Struthio camelus: one gene and its partners. The protein of the gene in region 2 interacts with the protein of the main gene of each other region in a pairwise test. Links are inferred from orthologs where the notes say so. Each region holds a gene or a part of one and is shown on either strand. Other genes may lie near its edges.

What was found.
Region 1: the proteins of XIAP (region 2) and NEK6 interact in binary tests that used the Homo sapiens proteins (3 or more experiments, as listed by UniProt). The two-hybrid records come from large-scale screens. The link is inferred for Struthio camelus from reciprocal best matches to the Homo sapiens genes XIAP and NEK6.
Region 3: the proteins of XIAP (region 2) and CASP10 interact in binary tests that used the Homo sapiens proteins (3 or more experiments, as listed by UniProt). The two-hybrid records come from large-scale screens. The link is inferred for Struthio camelus from reciprocal best matches to the Homo sapiens genes XIAP and CASP10.

The regions. Positions count from the first base shown.
Region 1 is NC_090961.1:1,652,578-1,660,353, forward strand, and holds the start of NEK6 (serine/threonine-protein kinase Nek6), read right to left. Parts: upstream 3,119-7,776; 5' UTR 3,104-3,118; coding exon 3,002-3,103; intron 1-3,001. UniProt on the Homo sapiens protein: Protein kinase which plays an important role in mitotic cell cycle progression. Required for chromosome segregation at metaphase-anaphase transition, robust mitotic spindle formation and cytokinesis.
Region 2 is NC_090952.1:11,059,515-11,067,532, reverse strand, and holds the start of XIAP (E3 ubiquitin-protein ligase XIAP), read left to right. Parts: upstream 1-4,957; 5' UTR 4,958-4,972; coding exon 4,973-5,008; intron 5,009-8,018.
Region 3 is NC_090947.1:10,378,794-10,386,407, forward strand, and holds the start of CASP10 (caspase-10), read right to left. Parts: upstream 3,119-7,614; 5' UTR 2,868-3,118; intron 2,311-2,867; exon of another isoform or gene 2,208-2,310; intron 291-2,207; 5' UTR 270-290; coding exon 1-269. UniProt on the Homo sapiens protein: Involved in the activation cascade of caspases responsible for apoptosis execution. Recruited to both Fas- and TNFR-1 receptors in a FADD dependent manner. May participate in the granzyme B apoptotic pathways.

The sequences.
Region 1 (7,776 bases), on a different chromosome or scaffold from region 2:
CCTGAAGTAGCACCAAGCTAAAGTAAACATGTTGCGCACAGTTTTCAGTGTCAATACAATTTAAAAAAATAAAAAAAGTCTAATTTACTGCATCATGCCATGCAATAAATTAAATCATATGATTAAACACTAGAAGCTAAATGATACAGAACATCTTTTTTTAATTAAAAAAATAGAAGTAGTTTGTTTCTGAAACATTTTTAAACGTATTAAAAAGAATACAACTCAAAAGGCTTCTCACACATGCAGAACTACGGCAACTGGAGCAAGCGCAGATGTTTAAATACTTAGCACAGGTTAGAATTTGAAGTATTCTCGATCCGATCCAATCCAATGTGTGTATAAAAATAATCCAAGATAGAAAAAGACCTACCTATCCATATAAAGATTTGATAGGTTTACGGACTGCTGCATTTGAACCACTATTAAAAAACAAACAAACAAACAAACATGGTTTTCTCCTGTTAAATAGAGCTGAGCTTACAAGTTCTAGACCTGGCCATTTAATCACAGCTCACACAGAACCTCTGTTCCCATGTCCCACGTTCCAGCTGATGAAAGACAGCAGCTTCCAATCTAGCTTTAAATAAAATCAAAAACCCTTTAAGAAAGTTTCAAACAAGTATTTTGGAGGACTTAATTTTCTATGCAATTTAGACATACTGCAGCAATCTCAATATGATGAAAAAAGTTATACTTTTAAACTAGATTTTGCACACAAGTTCTTAAAAAAAAAAAAAATTAATCAAGTCCAACATTACCTCTCTGTTTCAACACTTTTTTCTCCTTTTAACTTCAGGTGCAAATCAAAAGTCAACCATGGAATCCAGAAATGGAAGAGATCTACTACATCACACTCAGCGTGCTCCTCTGCCAGCAGACTAGCGCTCCCTGAAGAGCATCCTCTGCTGCTTTGTCTGGCCCAAACTCAACACTAGTGGGGATCCTACCACTTCCTTTCGGGAGCCTATTTCAGAGGCTGCTGCAATTTATAGTAGCAAATCCATGCTGATATCCAATGTACTGTTATTTCTTCATGCATCATCTCTATGTCTCACTGCTCAAGAATCAAAATCCAAGATACTTGTAAACATCTTAGCATAGCTCTACTAGAAGATAAGTTAAGTATCTATAGTATTGAAAAAAGTGGCATCAGCAGTCTGCTTTCTGCAGCCTGGATGCCCTTAAAGACGGTGACCTTTAAAAGGCAAACGTTGCACCACGTACCTATATAACTTACTGGACTTCTACTTCACCATTTTTAATTTGCTCTCCCATCTAGAGACCGTACAACTACTGTCCCAGGAATTCTGAAAAGGTATTCTAAAATCTGCACCCAGCAGCGTACACAGGCCAGATTACTGAATCAGGAAACCAGATCAAGCGCCTCTTCTCAACACTGGGGCCTGAGCATGTTCGTGCTGAGCCTCGTGCTGAGCTGAGCTGATCTACCAAACTGTGGCCACTGACAGGACCTAGCCTAGCTCTCCAGGTGCACCTCCTCATCCCTCCTTTGCGTCCGTCCTTTGCTCCCTTTGTGGACCAATTCCTCTCTGGGGAAAGGAGGAGGCATAGCTAGGGAAAACAGCAATCGCTCTTTCAGCAGTACAGAAGGTAAACCGGTTCAACTCCCTCGCTTAACCAAGACATTTTTTCTTCCATAGTTTTATGCCAGTTTACTCTGCTGAAGCAGCTCACTGAAAGTCAGATGAGTGCCAGCACTGGCCCAGGGGAAACAGAGAAAGTAAGAGAAACTGTCCCTTTTGGTAGCATCAAGCTGTTGTATCAGCTCAGCCATCCAGTCACTCGGCGGGATGTTGAGACATATCAAACCTTCCTAACTCTGTTATCCTCAGTTTGCAGATAATCTATTCTTATCTTTTAAGGCACTTAGAGATCTAGTGATGAAAAGCACAAAGAACTTGATAAGTACTTGCGTGTGCTCGTACTATAAACTTTGCAAGAGAAGGGCTGACTGTTATAAACATATTAGAGTTAATGAGACTTAATAACAGAAGAAACTGTTTTGAAGGCCTCAGTCTTTAAAAGGCCGAAGTTTTAAAGGTTATCTAAAATGGACAAAAGTAACTTTCATATGATTTTATATTGGAAAAGGTCACTTCTTTTTCAAGTGTTCAGCTTAGTGATGCACAGCTGTACTGAAAACATTTTTATTTTCCTCTACCGCCATGCCTGTCTTTTAACCAATAGCAGAGTAGCTCACCATTTCCATGTCGAAAGTCATGTTTCTAGGGCCTTTGGTGATAAACAGTATCAATGTAAACATGAATTATTTTTGAGAAAGCAAGTTTGCTTTCAATACTGCAAGAATGTTTTTGGTGCACACAGAAGCAGAAAGAAAAGGCAATTTAAATACAGTAGAAGTCAGATTCCTAGATCATTCCCAGAGTACTTTTCTCCAAACATTAGGACACCAAACAAACAGCTGATTGAATCTAAAGAACTCTCTTAGTCTGGCAAGTAGATACATAACGTAACCTCTTTCAGACAAACTCTACATACGCTATCATGTTTAGATAGCAATGGAGAGAATCCCTCTGACTTGCTCCTCAAAAATATATAGATATATAGATCTATTTCTTTACATATATTTTACATATATATACACGTATATCTTGCTACTATCTCTAAATAAGTCTGTTCCACAGACACCTCTAACTGTAACTGAATCATATTATACACCGGAACATTTTTCATGAACTCTGTCCTTTAAGATCCTAAACATTATGCTGAAGCTACTCACTATCAAAAGTGACTGAAAGGGTTTTCACAAGCAGAAACAAGTTGAAAGCTGTTAGTGACGAGTATTTTTCAAATCAAACGTCTCCACATACTACGTTTGAAACCAGTTTCTTACAGTCAGCATCCATCTCTCACACCTCTCGTTCAGCACGCTGCAACAGTATGAACGGCATCGCATAATAACGGTCACTGCTTGTCACAGACTTCTTGCCTTTGACCAGGATACAAAGACACGTACCGCACAATTTCCTGCAAACAGCCCAGCAGAGTGTCCGGATAGGTGCATGCTGAAGCAGTCACCAGTGTTCACATAAAAGGTAAAATAGACACGTTTGGTCATTTTCCAAGACAAATGCAGGAGTTTGTGTCAGAGCAAGAATACATATTCATGACTCCCTTAATCTTAATTCTGTGCTCAAAACTCTAATAGCATCATGGCTGCTTTTCACCTAGATAAGTGTTGAATTTTAATAATACTAAATATCAGAATAGTAAAAGAAAAGAATACTAAAAAACTTCTAAAATGAGGTTCCATTTATTTATTTTGCTCATTAGCCAAAGATAAAGGCAATTGTTACGGCTTTCTTTGCTATGAATGTTCTCTTCCATAGCAAGAGCATCTAAGAAAAGTGAATTAGAAGGACAGAAGTTAAAAACCCAAGTCCAGCTATTAAACCTGTTTTCTGTAACAGTGGGTATCCCAACCGGGCTTTCACTTAGGAAAAAAGCAAAAAATCAAGCCCCAGATGTTATAATTATGCCCAGCTCTATCATTCAGGTTTTGGCATCTTTATCTAGTACTTCTCCTTCTCTTCCAACAACAATTTTCTTGCCTTAAATTTGGAATGAATACATTAATTTTTACTGCCTGCCCCACTTGCTGACTGCTGCAGTTCATACTGTCTAGTCTGTATTGCCATGTTGTTTTTTAAGTATGTATGTTCCATAACTTGGAGCTTAAACATATCTGACAGCACAGAAAGTAGGAGGAAACGTGAAATATATCCACCAACTCATCTCCTACACCTCTACAGAGAGCGTACACACCTTCAGAGGTGGAGGTCAATTTGTTAATAACTATCCCGATTTTACAGCTAAGAAGGCAGAAAATGCATAAAGTCAGCTATGTCTGCTCCTATCCCCACTTCAAAAAATTGCTCATTGAACAAATAATTATTAACAGATCATTCAGCACGCAAAAAAAAACTTTTCAAAGCCATTTAAAGGGACCTTCAGACAAACAGCTAGGTCTGAATAAAGCCAGAAAACATGCTGTGAGATAAATCTCCGGGTTTCCCACTATTTTCTGTGGCACAGCCTCCATTACTAGGAGCAAAGAAAAGAGTCAATACAGGCTCAATAATATCAATATACGCATAAGTATTACATATTGACATTAAAACTTTTGGGCAGGATCATAAGAGGCAGGTATTACAAAATATGTCCGGTTCCCAGCATGGGTTTAAAGTGTGACTTACTCAATTTCACCTGTTTTTCTCTTAACAAAATACATACTAAGTAATTTAAAGATATATATTAAAACTCATATTCAAATTATGTGCCCCTCCTCTCTCATAAAGCACACATTTGTCAAGAAACAGAATTCCAGAGGCAGCAGGGAAACAAAATAAACAAAAGTGCTTTGTACGCGCGGAAAATGTTCATTCTGTTCTGACAAGTTCCTCTTGGGGTGGTAACCGTCACTCACATCCAGTCTAGAAATCTCGCTTCCCACAGAAGACGCTCGCTCCTTTTCCACCATAACAGAAGTTCCTCTCCTCCCAACCCCCATTTTTATGCGTCTAAGTCATAAAGCCATAGGAAACGGGGCAGCAACGTTCACATCTCAGACAAGTTCCTCTTTTTTTTTTTTTTTCCTCCTTTTTTCTGTTGCTGCTTAAAAGAATATGACTGTCACAGAGAATGTCGACAGGAAAAAAGTAACAGCGGAAAGAGTTTTGACTCAATGTCAAGAGATGTATCAAAACATGAAAACAGTATAAATGCCGCAAGTTAAACAGTTGCTTACAATGATTCACAATAATGAATTTTTAAAGGAGACATAGAAATGACAGCAAGTCATTCACAATGTGTCAGGAACTTGCATCACTGGACTTCTAATTGTTACAATATTTCCCATCAAATTACTTGTAGCGCAATGATGCCATAGGCAATTATCATTGGCAGAAATATTTTGCGTGTGTGAACAGACAAACAGATGGAGCTCCAAAGTCCACCATTATTCTCAACAAGTATCTATCGCACTCTGGAGTGAATAACATGTTGAAGAAAATGGTATTTTGCAGTTCAACTCAAACAGCATATACTCTCTCTAGAAGGCAATGCTGTAATCCCTGAAGCACTGGTTTTATTTCAGACTTCCTATTTTTTAAAGATAACAAAAAATAAAGCGTTCTGAGAATATGTATGCTCCTCTCCCGTAAAGTGCTCAGGAGGACATCAGGAGCTGGCAGACAAAAGAGATGAAAAATACGAAGCACCTAAAGAAAAGTTCTCAAATTGCAGTCTAGGGACTCCCAAAGAATTGTAAAGTTCTTTTCATGAGCTGCAAGAACACAAGAGCACAAAGAATCTCATAGAAAAGATAAGGAAAAAAAAAACGTATAAAAAGGACATAATGGGCCTTTTTCATATGGCAGTGTCACTTAGAGTGGCATGCAAACGGAACTTGTATGGGAACCACTAAGCTAAGGCATGAGTGTTTGGCAGCACTACTGTTTCTAAGGTTAGAAAAAAAGAAGGAAAAAGAAAAAAGTGTCATCACACATACACCACACAAAACTATGCAAGTATTCCTATTTTACAGTATTTTAACTTTGCTAAAATCTTAAAACAACGCTATATAACAACACCTCTCTGGAAAGCAACCGAGTAAGATCCAAATTTGTCCTAGTTTTGACGACATCTCCGTTTATTTCTCACTTTTGCCCAGGCACGTGCTAGCTAGCCGCAGAGCGAGCGAGCGCGCCGGCACCCCGCGCAGAGGAGCGGCCACGAGGCGCCGCGGGGCCCGGAGCCCCCGGGGCGGCGCGCTGCGGCTCGGGCCGGGACCCGCGCGCCTCGCCTCGCCTTCCGCCTCCCGCCGCCGGGCCGGGCAGCGCCCGCCCGCCCGCCCGCCCGCGCCGGGCCGGGCCGGGCCGGGCCGGGCCGGGCCGGGCCGGGCCGGGCCGGCGGCAGCCAGGTGCGCTGCGCGCGCCCGCCCGCGCGGCGCCCCGGCCCGCCCGGGCGGCCCGGCCGCGGCTGCCGCCTCCCCGCGCCGGCGGGCAGCTCCCGGCCGGCAGCCGCGGCGGGCACACCCCCGGCCCGGCGGCCCGGCCCGGCCCGGCCCGCGGCCCTCCCGCCGAGGCGGGCTGTGCTGCGGCGCGGGCGGCCCCTTACCTGCGGAGCGCCCGTGGCCGTGCGGGCGCGGCCCCTCGGGGCGGGCAGCGCGGACGCCCGAGCCGGCGGCGGCCCCACAGCCCCGCACCGAGCGAGCGGCGCCGCGTCCCGGACACAACTTCGCCGCGCGCTCCCGCCTCCCGCGCGCCCGCGCCGGCCCGGCCCGGCCCGGCCCCGCGCCCAGCCCGCCGCGCGGCCCCGCCGCCCCCCCACTCACCCGGCCCGGCCGCGCTGGGGGAGGGGGCGGCGGCGCGCGCGGGCACGCGCGCTCGCGGCTGCCACGCAGGCCGGGCGGCTCGGGGGCGCGCGGCGGGACGGCCCCGGGGCGGCGCCGGGCGCTGCCGCTGCCGCCGCCGCCGCCGCCGCTGCCCGCGGCGCCCGGGCCTCCCCCGCGCCCGGCGGCCGCGCCGCAGGCCCCGGCCCCGGCTCCGGCCCCTGCGCGGCCGCGGCGGCACCAAAGCGCCTGAAGTCCGCCCAAAAGCCAGCTCGGTTCCCGGGCGCCGACCCCGGCGGCACGGAGAGCGTTTACCTGCGCCGATTTTACTTCCGTTTTAACTTGTGGGTTTTTCCATGTCCTGAGATGAGTCACAGCAAAAGCAAAACTAGCCTAGGGAAAACAGAATTAGCAGAGCCCTCCCACCAGCGCGCCGGCTCGCGGCCTTTACTCCCCCGGAAAATTACCGCTGCCAGGGCCTCGCATGTCAGAAGTGCCCACGTCCTTCCCCGAAAACTGCGCAGTGCTCATTTGCAAACTTCCCCATTTTTAATTTCAGCCTCTGGTTTCTCACTCATGATCCCAGGGATTAGTTCCTTCCCCGCTGCGGGGCTAATACAAACTGAGTGGCGACAGTGACAGAATTAGAAATTTGTTGCAACAATGGCAAAATTATACAGCTAAGACTTTCCTTCGCAGTATTCTCATTTGTCTTTCGCTGATCCTCTTACGTAACGTTAATTATGGGGACATGTAATTAGGTGCTCTGCTCCTGCAAAGACATGTGCTAAACATCACCAACAGAAGGAGTAGCCGTAATGATCGTAAGAGCAGTAGTCACATGTCTAAAGCAAAGTGCATGACTTTTTTTGCAGGAATCGGGGTCTAAACGGGTCTAGGTCTAAAATATATGATCTTAGGAATTCAGTAGAACCTTTTTTTTAATCAAATGGAAATTTTTTCTTCCTTTTTAAATTCACGAATTGCAGTGCTTTGTAGATGAAGACAAAAGCATTAGTAACCTTAGTATACTTAAGTCTAAATTCAACAGTATTTTTTACAAGTGAAGAAAAACTCGAAACTGAACTTAACAATAAATAAAAGTGAAACTAACAGCTCTCATTTAATTGTCTAAACTGGGTGAAAGGCATACAGTAACAGAGAGCATATCTGGTGAGAAATATTTCTGATTGCTCATATTTTGTCAATTTTTGTAATCCAAGGCCTAGCTACAGCAGAAGAAGTTTGCTGGCATGACAGTAAACCAGCCTAGCACCGAGGTCCTATCACAGCAGGAAACTGCTAGTGCCAGCTTGTAACTGATACCAATACCAGTTCAGCACATGAAATAAGCTACGCAAGCACGAGCACTTTTCGCTAGTATAACTTCGTTTCTGCTA
Region 2 (8,018 bases):
AGTGTTAATGTCAGTTTAGTTTTATGGAAGTATATTTATTCTTGATTTTTCTAAATAAATACTGCAGACACCAGTTATGAGAGCTGCAAATGTACAAAAGCAGAATGTATCTGAACAGCTCATTTCCTGTGTATTATCCTACTGTATATATGCATGTGACCAGGCACAACTTTACTACCTGGTCTGAGGGGTAAACATCAGCTGACCGCGTTACTTTTCTTGTGTAGACATGCAAGAGTGGCTATTTGGACTAAAATGTCCTTTAATACTTAGATTTTATATTATGTATCTTTAAGAATTATCTTACTCTAAATTCCTAAAATGTATGCTGTTTCTTGAAATCTGTCATTTTTGGTGATTGTTTCTTTTGTGGGGACATTTCCTAAGCTCTCACATAGAAGAAAAATGGTACAAAGAAGGCATGTTTCCACATATTCCAAACAATTTCCATTTGGTCAGTGCTGTTTAGACAAGTAACAATCGTAAACATTAGCTAGTACCGGCTGTTTCTGTTAAGCTAAGTAATTGAAAGGAGAAATGTTCTCAGGTAAGTGATTGCCAGATAAATCTTATAACTTTTGTTTTTTTCATAGCTAAACAAAGTATTACTTCATCATCCTAACGTATAAAATAAATTCTACATTTCTAGAATTCAGATTAAGGTAATTGGTTGTGGAGAAACATGCTGTTTGAGAAAAGTTGGTTTGTTTTCAGCACACAGAAAGCAGGAATGTTTCAGTGAGCACTGTTTATTGTTTGTCTTTCTTACCCAATTCCAAATGTAGGCAAGAGTCAGCCACAGATTTAGGTTCAGGTTCCAAACCCTGTTGGCCTGGAAGCATTCTGGTCAAGGATTTGGAACAGCATCATTCTTCTTCTTAACTTTTTGATTCTGTTTATGTTGATGCACCTGCTGATGAAGAATGGAAAGCAGAAATACAAATTAAGCTCTCGTCTACACAGTTCGCTTGCACAGTTCCCAGTCTCACCAATAGTCAATTGAAGTGGAGGTCTGCAAGTCAGTTACTGATGTGAGTTATTTGAAGGATGGAGACACGAGCTGTTTTGAGGCACTATGCTCCAAGCCTGTGCTGCAACCATTAAGAGCAATAATGATTCCCCTTTGCCTGCCTTCAAGAATGGAGGCACAATGGAAAAATGATGAATGCTATTAAGAAGCTTTTTTTTTCTTTTCTGGTGCCTACACCTTCCTAGCAAGTGCTATATCAAAGTATGTGTGAAAATATGAACAAAACTAGGAATTTTGCATGTTTTATAAGGTGAGCAGTGACAGGTTCACTGGCAGTGCAATTTAGAGACTTGCAGCATTACCTGAGTTCACTAATGCAGAAAGGTAGAGTACAACTTGTAAAGCAGGTATTCCTGAACTTGCTCACAGCTCATGCAATGAGTCAGAATAGTTGGATAGTCTTCAGGACAGGCCTCCATCATTATGGCTTTTGGGTTACATACATCCCACAATAAATTGTATTTGACTTAACTGCACTTTGCTGACAAAATTCATTTGCTGACTTCAGCACATAACTAGTCTGCAGTTGTGTGTATGAAGGGTCCGGCAGAGCAGCTCTGTGGCAGTGGCCATTTGGTGGTAGGAGAGCCAGGCAGCATTTGCTGGTGTCTAAGCATCTGCAAGGAAGCGGTCGCTTACAGTTTGTGCTTTTGCCCATCTCTTGTCTGGGATGTGTCCAGAGAAAACTCCAGATGACTGTAGCATCTTCTCAGGGTTGGCTGGGTATTGATGATACAGGAAGGATAGGGAGGCAAAGTCTGCAAACAACAGACTGCTTATCAGTGGATGGGCAGTAACTGCAGCTTGCGGTAGCTGACTGGGTTGACTGTTACTGAAGTTCACAGGCACTTACCCAGTGACACGTACGAGGAAGTAAAAGTTGGGACACAGTTACCTCATGCCATTTTATTGTGGGAGGTAAGAGTACTAGTGCATCAAGAGAATATGAAGGTTTGAAGGTAAATCCTAAAGCTGATAAGACATTATCAGCATGGTCCACACACTCACTTGGGTTGTGTACCCCAGATATCAAGTATGTTAACAGGGAAGTGTGTCTGTGACTAATGATAATCATGTAAGAGAAAACCTGAATTCCTAAGCTTGGGGTTTGCAGACCATCAGGCACTCAAATAAGCTACTTCTGAAACTGTCAACCGTGATCCCTCATTCTTGGTCCCAAACTAGAAAGTACTCTGGTAGCACTTTGTCCATTGTTTTTCTGTTCTGCTTTTTCTTCTTCTTCCGGTATTTTGATTCCAACTAGAGTTCAAAGTCTATATATATATATATATATATATATATATGTATGTATGTATGTATAAAATACACCTGCCTTTGATATGCGACTATCTCTTTTAACCTTCTACCTATGAGGCAAAGGATTTGTGAATTACAGGAAAGTTTGCCTGCTAAGATCTGGACAACCCTCTTGAGTTTCCCCCACATAAAACAATTTTTGGACATCATCAACAAGACATGTGGGAAGAATGAATGACCACAGTGATCAAATAAAAGGGAGATGCTTGTCAACCATAGCGTTCCTCTTCTTTCTGTTGTCCCATTCAAACTCATCTGGAAGAGAGAGTCAGATTTGATTTTCTGTGGAACAGCATAAAAATGCAAAGCTTTTGTGTTCCCATCAAACCACTGCATCTCTTCCTCCTGGGGCAGCAGAAACATTGAATGCATGGGTAAAACAGACAATTTTTTATTGTCATACTCATGAGAAAATGTTTCATGTCATGCCACCGTTCTGTCATTTGGACCTTTCCTTTCTCCATCGTTCTTTTACTGTTTCTCTCATGCTTGTCTCCATTTTTTTGTTTGATTGATTTTCTTTCTCTACTACATCTCTGAAATTCTAGCTCTGCATTGCACAGCTTTTTTCACTCTGTTCATTAACCTGATGGTAATGGACCAATTAATGTTAGCATTTTAGGGTCATCACAATCACAATGGGCTTTACAATGCCTATGTCAATGGGATTAGTAGGGAATAAGAAGTTGCATTAATTTCTTGGCGAATACGTCAACAAACAGAGATTCCCATATGAACCTCCATGACTCATGACCCATTATTGATCAAAAGCTTCATGTCAATGAACTGTTTGCTAAGTCTAATTTATATTTATCTGACTCGAAAAGCTTCAAGCTAATTAAAATCTGTAACATGATTGTGTTAAAAACAATATTTCAAAGAGGTTAGTGTCTGGTATTATTTGATTTTTCAGTTTTCAATAATTTGTTGTGTTTTAAAATCATAGAATAGCTCAGGTTGGAGGAGACCTTAGAAGATCATCTAATCTAGCCTTCCGCAGGGTCAGCCATGAGATCAGATCGGTCTTTATCCAGTCTGGTCATGAAAGCTTTCAAGGATGGAGACTGTTCGACTGTCCTCATGGTGAAAATCTTTTCCTTATACCCAGTAGGAACCTGTGGTTTCAAGTTATGTCCATTGGCTCTTATCCTTCCACCATGCAGTGCTGCGAAGAGCCTGGCTCTGCTTCCTTGGCAACCTCCTTACAGGTATTGGAAGGCTGCTTTTAGATCCCCTCAAAGCCATCTCTTCTCCAGGCCAAGTGCCATTCCCTTGGCCACCCCCAACCATCCTGCTGGTCCAGGAGCGCTGACCTCAGTCCAGTTGATCGACACCTTCCTTGTACTTGGGGCCCCAACACTGGATGCAGTCTTCTAGATGTGGTCTAATGAGTGCTGAGTGAAGGGGGGTGATCACTTCTCTCGATCAGTAGGTGCTCTGCTCCTGTTTGTACAGCCCAGGGTGCTGCTGGCCTTCTTTGCTGCCAGGGGATGCTGCTGGCTCATGTCCACTGCTGTCTACCAAGATCCCGGGTCCTTTTCAGCAGAGTTGCTCTCCAGGCAGTCAGTCCCCAGTGTGTATTGTTGCAAGGGGTTGTTCCTTTCCAGGTGCGGGAGTTTGCATTTGTACAGGTAAATGTGGAAGAATGTTGAGGAGATAGGCAATGGAAGCCAGCCAGACCGTTCCATGGGAAAAGGAGTTTCTTCAGGGCATGCTGACCCATAGTCAGGCAGCTGAGCCCATGCCAGTGTGGCGCTACACCTAGGCTTTGAATTGAGATTTGCGATGAGCTCACTATGCTTATTGTGCATGTATGTAGTCCATAAAAACTCATGTAGTGCCCCCCCGGGGTTCCTTGCCTTGGACCGACACTCGGCGGTGCCAAGGACTCTCCTGCTCCATTAATGCCTTGATCAGGAAATTGTTGGGGAACCTCTGCTTAGGTGTAGAGGTAATAAACACTCAGTATTGGCCATAGTGTTCTTGAGTTTGTGTATCTGTCCCTGCTGAGAGCCCAGGCATTGCCCCCACCTTAACAGCGTTTGTCCTTGTTGAATTTCATAAAGTTGTGTAACATTTCATTAAAATTCTCCACATTGTTCCAAAATAATTTATTTAAGGATTTATAATAGTAATTTTAAAAGGAATTTTAATGTATTTTTTACTAGTAATGTTAGTTAAAGATACATCAAATTAGTCTAGAAATGTTATCAACTTCCTCTCTCCCCAGAGGATATTGGGTCATCTTTACATGAAATGATCTGTAGCATTCCCAACAGCCATAGTTGTCCACATTACAAAATGTTCATGTTCATGAGGAACAAATAACAAGCAGAAATCAAAATCCAAAGAATCTTTTTAGTTAGGGCTTCAAATCTTTTTCAATTAGCATAAAATCCCCCCAAAAACACCTATTGGACTTCCCTTAGGGTCAAGCACATGCAGTGGTGCTCCTTTTCCTCTTTCTGTATCTAAGCATTACTCCTTCATTAAGCAAACATACCTCTTCAAATAAGATCCAGCCAAAACCACCATTTGCAGATCCACCTTGAGATTCCTCATTTGCCTTGCAGGTACCTTTTTTAAATGGGATTTTCAATGAAGAACATCAATTTAAACAAGAGGATGAATAACATCAACCTTAATGCAATAATACCTAATGTAAGTTACTTCCCTGATACGGAGTAAATGAGCCAGTAATATCCCATTGTGATGTGCAAAACTGGGTTTGGGAGAACAGTATGTAAGGTATCACCATTTATGCTACATAGCATCCAATTTTCAACCTAACTTGCTTGTTTTGTCACTTATCCATGGCATAAATTGCATATGGGCTAAAAAAAAAAAAAAACCTATATGGTCAGCATGCAGGTACCTAGGGCAGCCATACATGGCCACACCGTAAGAAGATTTTCTTTATCTCACTAAAAGTTATTTTCATATCTGTAAAATTTCAATTCTTTTTTTCTCAATTCATCTCAGAGTAAAATACAAGAGTAAGACAAAGATAAATAAACTAATCTAAGGACAACTGGAATTACTCTCTAGTCAAAAAACCATGCAAAAAAGCCCAATGAGACTACCGCTATAGAAAGTCAGTAAATTGTACTGTAGGCCAAAGCTAACATTTTACAATTTCATCTACAGTGAAAAGTACCTTAATACTATTAGTTCTAATGTTGTTAGGTTGCCAAAGGCATTACTAGTTTTGGCCTACAGTGCAGTTGACTAATTTGAAATTTTACTTCAAACTAAAATTTAAGTTGGTTAAACTTACCAGAAAACAACTAGCTTTCATAGAAAATAAACATTTTAGGAGCATTACTGTCTTTATTGTGGAATTTTTTTTTTCCATTATGATTTCTTATCTTCCAATTCTTCTAGTTACTCATGTTACAGTTTTTCTTTTTTTTTTTAGGCTTTGATTTAGAGATCAAAACCTGTAAATGGGCCACAGTAAAAGCACCTTGTGACCTCTAAAACAATCTGTTTTGTTCAGAAAAGTATGAAAACCTCAGCAAAGCAGTGACATTTGTGAAAATCATTGCTGATAAAACTATTACCAATGAGGCATGACAAGGATATTTATAAGACTAAATATTCATGTTCACATTGCAATATTAAGGTACTAATATCTTACTGTGTCATAATATATCAAAGATCATGAAATAACCTTACTTTGGACTGATGTGAGGTGAGTTTCGATTGATGTGAATTTCTACTACTGAAATAGAACTGTTTAGCAGATAGGTGACTGTGTATGATTATCATACCAGAATTTTTTAGGTAACCAAGTTATGTCTGGCTTGCGCAAATAGTGCCTGCAATGCTTGAGCCTTTTACTCTTGTTTGATTTATTTTAAGGAAGTACAGAGTACAAATGAAAAATAAAAATGGTATGTGCATACATTATAGAAGAGAGAGAGATTTAAACTATTTAAGAGGTGTGCTTTATAAATTTTCACACAATTGTGTGTCTAAAGCAATCTTTTTCCTAGAATATTTCTTGGGGTCATTTCTATTTATATTAAAGAAATCCCTGAAATACTTATATTTTATAGTATTTCCCAGAACAGTGACCTGCGTTTTCAGTACAGGTGGTTTTCTTGTTTAAAAATCACTCCATTTCTTGTTTTTACTCTATACAGATGACTCTGAAGATTTCAAATTAAGAAAAGTGCCAAAGCCCTTAGAAGAAGCCAAAAGATTAAAATTAGGGGACTGTAAAAATTATTTATTCTCATCAGGGACTGTGTGCCATGGTAACCTCACTGGATGACAAAAATATAGAGTCAGGTCTAATGATGCAATTATTTTCAAGAACCACTGTAAATTTTATTTTTGCAGAACAAGAAATGTTAGAACTACAAGACTTCAGTTATATTGTAAGCTAAATAGATTACTTTGCCTAAAATTATGCAAACTTTGCACATCTTTGCAGTATCAAACTACAAAAAGTTTATAGGACTGCGATCAAATTTTTGTCTTAATAGAGAAATGTTAACTAGAATCTATCAGCAGTAATATCTTACGTGATTGTTTTTATGAGTACAGCCTCAGACCTTTTGAACCATTTTTTCCTTTAGTCCAGGGAAGTCTTTTTCTTTTTCTTTTTTTTCTTTTTCTTTCTTCCTTTCTTTCTTCCTTCCTTCTCTTCCTTCTGTTCTTCCTTTCTTTCCCTTCCTTCCTTTCCTTCCATTTCTTCCTTCTTTCCTTTCTTTCCTTTTCTTCTCTTTCTTTTTTCTTTCCCTCTTTCTTTCTTTTTCTCTTTGTTTCTTTCTTTCTTATAGGCTCAGAATTACCATTAGGCTACTATCAGTAAATGTAATATTTTAGTTTTGGGGTTATTCTTTTTCTGGACCAGAAGTCTTATCAAAGCAAATTTTATACTGTTACTGATTACTGAATACTCATTATGATTTTTTCTAACTAACCAAAAGGATTCTGCTAAGATTTCATTACTTATAATAACGGAAGTTACTGTTGTTACTTGTAGTAACTGGAAGCTTCAAGCAAAATTGGGGTCTCTCAGTTAATGCTGGACAACATGAAGTGAGAAACAATCCCTATCCAAAAGGGCTTTCGGTCTAAGCCCTGGAATCGCGAGGCATTCTTGCATGTTATGTAATTAGATTCATTGCCTCTGAATTTTTCCCAGTCGCTCTGCCCTAAATCTTCAGAGGCATAAGATACAAAAGTTAAAATTAAGTCTCTACTGAGTGTATGCACGATGGGAAAGCACCAAAGTGTGAGAACATTTCTCAAATTAGTTGGCTTTTGTTGAGGATAGCAGAAAGTATGTCTCCTACATAAAGCCAACTATTTTGGCTACATTAAATTTGCTGCATCAACCATGAGGGCAATCGAGTTTCTGAAAAAAAAAAGTTAATGGAATGTTTTAATATTGCAAAACAACAGTCTTAGTCTTGGAAATGATTAAATGATTTTGGTTACAACTACTGAAGAAAATAGCCTGAGGCATCTATCTGACTTGGGAAATTCTGGTCCGGATATATGAAATTTGACAGGTTTAATAGCTACAGAAAAAGCAGTCTGGAAAAGACAAGTCTTTGGCAAACTTAATAGGTAGCACTACCTGTGCTTTCATATTACCTATGTTTCAATATTCATGATTTATTATTAGACATTAAGAAACAGTTATAACAGTGCA
Region 3 (7,614 bases), on a different chromosome or scaffold from region 2:
CTCTCCTTGGTATAGCCAAGTTTTTTGAGCAAGAAGTGACATTTAATTCTGTATAAGAGCTCAGCTAGTAGGAAAGTATCCTCCTCACTCAGATACTCTTCAGCCATAAGAAACTGAAAGATGTCCAGTGCTGACTGCACACTTTCCAATTTTTTGAAGGGGATCAGGTCAATGCAGAGAAATTTTAAAGCTGCTACATCTTCGGTACCCAGGTTTTCTTCAATGAGTAGAAGCTGCTGACGGAATTTCAAGCTGATATCATCCCCCATGTTGCTGGGGATGCTCTCTGCCTGAAAGCAGAAAGCAAACATTGTAACACTGTAGTCTTCAGTACAAGAATCCTTGAAATAAGGATTTCATCCAACACCTATTTGGAAGCCCTGAATACTCTGCAGAAGAGCAATTTCTTTTTGAATCCATTTGAAATGTACTTCCTTCTCCAAGCAAACAAATGCATCAGAGAGTAGATTTGGCAGAAGCTCTGAACAACCCAGTCTACCCTTGAAGTTAGCCCTGCTTTGAGCAGAAAGCGGAGTTAGATGACCTCAAGAGGTTCCTTCTTCCAACCTAAATTCCTCTATATCCTTCCATCAACTTTCATGTTCAGAGGAAGGAGTTCCCAACTACCTTCTGCCTCACAACTGCAGCTTTGTTCCTCTACATTGTCTGTGGCTGCAAAGAGTCCCTGCAGTAACTCTATTATAGCTCTTAGTGGAGAGGGGGCAGTGGTAAAATCACACATGTTCCTTGATCTGCAGTCTGAGGACTCTGCTGATTTTTGGCTGCAGCAGGCAGGCGCTCCTCTGTTTCAAGTCTGATATCCAAGCTGAAACTGTAAATAACCATCCACTCACAGTCATACCCTGCCACCAGATTGCGTCTTGCATTTCGCACAAGAAAAGCCTAAGACCTCCCTTATGAGAGTGTCTAATAAAACGTGATAAGAAATCAATCTAAAAGGACTCTGTACAAGCAACTCAACGTTATTGAAGCGTAACAGAAACTAATCACGCTTCTGCTAAACCAACTTCCTCCAGGTAGCTTAGGCAGGTCTTTTCTGCTGGAGTGAGGTTACATAGGGAAACTTGTTTTGATTGGTAAGAAAGTGCTTCTGAAGTTCTCTGCCCAAAGAGTCAGGGAGGTCCTTAACCCTCCATTAAGTGCAGCTGGAAGTAGCAAAGCTCTCTGCATGAAGGAGCAGCAGAAAAAAAAACCCAGAGAAGTAGGGGTATGGACAGAAACTCTGAATCCAAAGCCTTTGAAGCATGTGGGAAGACTGGTCAGCAGATAAACCACAAAGGTTATCATAGCATGTGGGGAGCACAAGGAAGACACTGTGGCAGTTTTGTGTTCAAGGGCACATAAGAAATATTATCCCAACTCCTGAAACCCAGTGAAGGATACAAGCACCATTTCATATTTCAACAACAGGTTTGACAGAACCCAGGAATCCTGAATTCTGTATTGGCCCTGTGTCACAAGTCAGAGACTGTGCAAGAAAAAAAGGTCGTATTGTTTTTGCCTGTATTCAAGCTTACTCTCCCATAGCTTACTAATTCCGTAACTCACATTGTTTCTCTCCTCAAATGAAATCCTGCGTATTGTGACACCTTATTCACTGAAGAAACACGCTGCTATCAAAAAGGCTCAGATCTCAGTCATCTATCTACGCAGAGAAATCGTATCACTTCACATTAAATCAGGCTTTAAATCAATTTAGCTAAACTAGTTTCAAACCCTATCTAGATGCTTTAGTCAACTAAATTTAGCAGAATAATTTAGCTTAAGTTGATTCCTGTCTAACAAGCCTATATACACCAGATTCAAACTGCATTTGTGTCTATTCAGAGTTTGGAGACAATGACTTCAACTAAACTAGTTTAAAAATCATAGCTTTAGAGGAACAGGGAAAAGCTGTGCGTAGGTCAAGCGTAAGTACTCATTTCACCAGAAATCAAACCGAAAGAAGATCCAGCACCAATTCCTTCATCTATCTTTAAAATAGTTTTAAAATGTGCATTCCAGTCACCTTTGGAAAGCTTTTCCATCAAAACCCTTCCTGCTTGAGTTCCAAATAACCTCAAGGCCACCCAATCTGCGCTGTGTTTACTAGCCATGACCTCTCTTCCTTCCCCCCCTGTACTGAGAGCAGACCGGACTGTTGCTGATTCCTAGCTCTACTGTGAGAGGAGGTTCCGCGGACTTACAGCCTGATCCAGTGTTCACCTTACTGTTACTGGGTTTCTGGAACAGTCTATGACTTCATGCGTTTCACAGGCAGGTTTTAAAACATTGCGGTGAAAGGCTCCTAAAAGCAGAGGAGGAAAAACAGCAAACACTCCCTTTTCCAGTAAAACTAGTTTGTAAAAAAAGACAAATGCTAACCACCCAGTGCTAATGCAGGGGCAGGACCTCCCTGCTCCCCAAGTTTGTCAGGGCTCACTCATTTATTTACAGACACAGCTACCAGGAGATCAGCAGGCAGACTGTCAACACACAAAAAAATGATGGATCAGTGTCTCCAATTTGTGTTTTGCAAAATATCCAATTCCTCCAGGAAGGAAAGTCACATAAAATGAGAACTGAGGATTATCAAATTATTATTTTTTTTCCCTTTAACTTGTTATTGATTGGGGTGCTGCCCAGCTTCAAGGTTTAAAACTAAAGCAAAACCACGGGGCCCTGAGGAGTGCTGGGGCCCGGCCCTCAGCCCCAAAGCAAGCCCCTCAGCCCCCGGCCGGTGAGTTTCCCAGCAGCAGCTGCACGATACCGGAAGGAAGGAAGGAAGGAAGGAAGGAAGGGGCTTCAGCTCCCGACTCGAGCGCTGAATCCCTCCTCTGTTCCCTCTCCATTTCGCTCCCTCTTACCTCTCAAATAAATCCGCTCCCGCTCCCGTCCCCTCTCTCGGCGGCTCCCCCGTGCCTGCCACTCAGCGCCGCCCGAGGCCGAGGCCGCACCCAAGAGCACCGGTGCTGAGTCACGGCCCGGGCCTGGCTGCCCGGCGCCGTGCGGGGGGAAGCGACATCCCCAGCGGCGGGGGCGGAGAAGGGGGCACGGCCGAACCGGGGAGGGGGCCTGGGGGCCGCCTCCGGCGCTGGAGCGGCGGTACCGGGGCGTGGGCGGGGCCCCGCTGGCTGAGCCCGGCCGCGCAGGGCAGCCGGCCCCGGCGCTTGGCAGCCTTCTCCCCCCGCGCCAGGGGGCTCCGCTGCACAGTCGGGAAAAGCAACCGGCAAAGCAAAAGCAGCGCAGGAAGAAACTGTTTTCTCTCTCGGTTTTAAGCCATGTCTAAAGCTAGCTACACGGCAAAAAGAGACCCAAACATTTTGGGGAGGTTTCTTCACCTGACAAGAAGCCTTGAAGCTACTGCCTGCAAGTACAGTTTTTATGCAAGATCTCCCGCTCAGCACCCCCGCTGCAGTAAGGGGGGGGGGGGGGGAAGACAGCGCAGGGTCCTCGCTGCTTTCAGCAACACCAGCATCATCTCCCCCGACCCTCCAGCTCAGGGCAGCGGGATGTGATGAGTCTCCTTGCTCCCGCCAAACAGCAGCTGTCCAACACATGCAACAGCAGACTTCTCTGCTGAAACTAAAAGGCTTCGCTGTCCTTTATTCAGTCAGGTGTTGGGTTTTTGGTTTTTGTTTAAAACAAAGCTGTAGAAACTCAATAGCCAAATTTAACAAGCACCTGATGTCTACAGGATAAATGGGCCAACAAGGTAAAGGGTTACTCTGAGATTGGCAGGGAGATGTAGACAATCAGCCTGACTGCAGGCGCTTTCCTTGGCAAAATAAGGTGAAACCCCAACATTTATGATTTAGGAGCAACAGGACTAAGCAGTTTTGCTTAACTATGATTCTATTTCAGTAATGGCACTGATTCAAATCATGTTTCCTATGATGCTATGTTTCTACAAATTAAACATACAAAATATGATGTCAGAGTAATACATATTTCAAACTAGAGTATGTACAGAAAGAGACAATTCACAAAAACAAAATTCCTGGAAGACTGGCACTCTCTTATTGACCCTCTAACAAAGGAGATGAAGAAAGATTTTTTTGATATAGCCACAGAGAGAAGCTATCCAATAATTCCATAGAGGAAATAAAAGTTTAAAAGGAATATAACCACAAGTACAGCAAGCAGACAAGACTACAGAACATCATCCACAGACAGCAACTTTTTCAGAGCAATAGCATCTGGCACGTCAGAAATTTAAAGCTGTACATATCAGAAAAGAATTCTTATAAACTGTCATGTAAAGCTGGTACTGATTCAGGTATCTGTAACAGTCACTGTTACTTCTTAAAGAGCTGAAAGGGTGTATGCATCAGACACACAGTATGCTGCACCTGCAAGCGTGAGCACCATAACATCCTCTTGAATTTAACTTCTTTCCTGAATCACAAGTTGGCAAACACCACAATCTCCTGCCTCACAGGTGCTTTTTCTGAGCCAGTGGTAAAGCACCATCTATATTCTGCCATTTCTCCTTTCCTTCTTCCATATATATGACGCAAACAGAAATGCAAGAAATGTCTATTACAGTTACTGGCAACTGAAGTTCTGTGCCACAGAGTCGGACGTTCCATGCGCTCACAAGCCAGGGGCAGAAAAGAGTGGCTTTCCTTCTCTTGTTCAACAGCGGGTTCAGAAAGCTATACGTTTTGGCAGACCACGACCATGAAAATCCACCACTATCTTTTTTGCTTGTTATGTTCCAGTGCTAACATCTTAGGCTTAATTCTGGATCCATCATGGAGGGTTTTTTTCCCCCCCCTTTTCTTTTGGCTACTGAATGGGAGTTTGATATTCAACCACTGCACCAGTAACAAACTGATCTGTAATGCATGTACAGCTTGATGCCATCCAGACCTTACATGCAGTCAGCTTCCAGGCTCAAATTTCAGGCCCACAGTAAAGCAAAACCAGACGATCCCAATCAAACATACCCAGGAGCACAGAAAGTTATGGGGGAAGTGACAGACAACTTCTGGCATCACAAAATTCCTGCATGTTAGCAAATACCAACTTCATCAACATTGGTTTTCACAACGCACTTCGTCCAGGGAATGAGTCTATCCCATAAGCCACTCTTGAAGGCGGCATCCAGGCAATTAATACTGCTTGGTACTTACATGATTACAGACTAAGTACTGCTCTGGGCCAAGAATCTCCTGAGCACCAAGACATCAGTGTAGAAACTCAGTGTCTGGCGTCCATGAACGCTGCAAGATGCGTGGAATGTCCCCACAAATCTTAGGACATCAGAGGACTGCAGTCACTGCTGCATCTAAGCAGCCAGACACAGAGACTCCTTTCCTTTTTACTGCTAGGATTATGTAGAATAATCTCCTCAATTTTTTTTTTTCAAAGTGTTTCCTCTTCATTTCTTAAGGAATAGGACACAGACTTTACTGACAGTGCCATAAACTAAAGTGAAGAATATGTATGCTTCTTGAACCCTCCTCTCCAACTTATGCTGTCATAAAACTATCAGAAACAGAATACATCCTATCACTGATAGTTTAGTAAATAGTTATATTTTGCATCACTCAAAAAAAAGTTGGATCCTGTAAGGATATCCACTATTATTCTTACTTCCTTCCTCCCTTTTCTCCTGTCTTCTTCTTTCTCCTTCCAATTTTGATGTTGTATTTCTCCTCCAAATCTTCTTTTCCCTACTTTTTCTTCTCTTGGTTCTCCCTATCGTTCCCCTTCTCGTTCCTGCTTGAACTTTGAGTATTTCTTTCCCTCATCTCTCTGCCTCCTCTTGGTTCCATTCTCCCTGCTTTTGGTGTCTATGAAGCAGTGAAGTGCTCATCATACGTAACGGCTAATAAGGGAAACGGGAGAAAAAAGTTAATTTAATTTGTGAAGTGAAATCATATTTATTATCACATACGTCTGTACAATAACTAGGAAACACACCTTATTTCTATAGCCACAGAACAGCGTGTATTTGTTTTATACCATCTGCTTCATTTACCAGCTACTACAGGAACTAACTTCTCAGATTCCAAATCCATCGTTTTATAATACTCCTCTCACCCCACGGAATATGAGCAAGGTAAAGTTTCAAAATTACACTTGCTGCATTTTATTCCAAGCTGGGCAGTTTATGAAAAAAACAGAGGTCAGAAATGAATGCCGTTTTTATTATCCATGACATATGATACAGACCTTTCTGGTGTTGCAAAGCAACAAGTTCTCTAGTTGAGTCTGTGGAGTACTTACAAACTCAAATTTAAGATACAAAATATTTTTAAAGCCGGAAGCAATATGGTACTAGTTTATAAAAAGAACCAATTTAAAAGGCCCTTTCTTACAAAGTAGGCAACTGGAGGAAGAACTGAGCTCCCCCACACCACCACTATGATATCTTTGTTTCTAGACCTGTAACATCATGAAATGGGATTTAGTATTTTTAATTTAACACTTGTAGAGGAACAAGCTTTTAGAGAATGTCTAGATTTTGCAAAAGTTGATTTTATACCATTTTCTCCTCTTATTACCTTTGCCTACATAAAATTACACCAACATAAATAACACAGGTACTGATGATTTAATGTACCCATGATCTACATAAAATTTTGGGTTACATTTCCCAATTCTATATGCTTTTCCCAATTCTATATACTTTTATTAAAAAGATATACCAGCTTATGAAGTGGATAGAGAGAGAAAAAAAACATTATACACAGGCTTATAATATAGGGGAAGTATTTTTCTAACTTGTGCAAAAATTTCTTATCACAAATACATATTTCACTATGTATTCCATATCTAACATGCAAATAAAACTGAACACAAAATAAAAAAAGACATAACAAGAGTGAAGATTTTTTTGAATATTTTTAAAGTGTAATGATATAAAAGGCTCGGTATATGTATTATACAAAATTATATATTAATATAAATAAATATGTTTTTGATCTTACAATTGTTTATGGATGCTTAAGAAAAGAATATAAGGTAATACTCGTTAAGCGGGTTTCTTCTCTTGATAGACTCTAACAGTCCTCAATCAATCAGCAGTTTAGGAACCTCTTAGGTCAGGAAGAGAGTGGACTTGCACCATATAACAAGGAAGGACTCCTGAGTGCTTATCAGATATAGATATCTACTCTTTGCCAAATAATTGTGAATATCAGTTTCAATTATGAAAGTTACTTGTTTTTTCTGATGAAACTTAAGAACTGTAGTTTCCAAAAAAAAGGTTATTAAAAATAATGTCAAGCTAACACCTAGGAAATACAACAGGGTATTGAGGAAAAAAAGTCATTGCTACCAAAATAAATGTATTGGCCATGCCATCATGATTAGTAGCAATATACTACTACTAGCTGCCTGCGAGACCCAGCTGACAATGAAAAGCATTGTTGGCAAAATCATATAGATTACCACATGTGATTTTTATTCAAATCAAATACAGCTATACTAGTAAAAAGTCTTCTGCAGTTTTTTTTTTTTTGTTCAAGGAACTAGCATACACTGTATTAGCAAAAAAAACACCACCACCAAACAAAACTTTTCTTTTTGCTTGCATGACATACATATGCACCACAAGGATGCATGGCATAACTACACCAGAAACCAAGCAAGGTAAGCCAA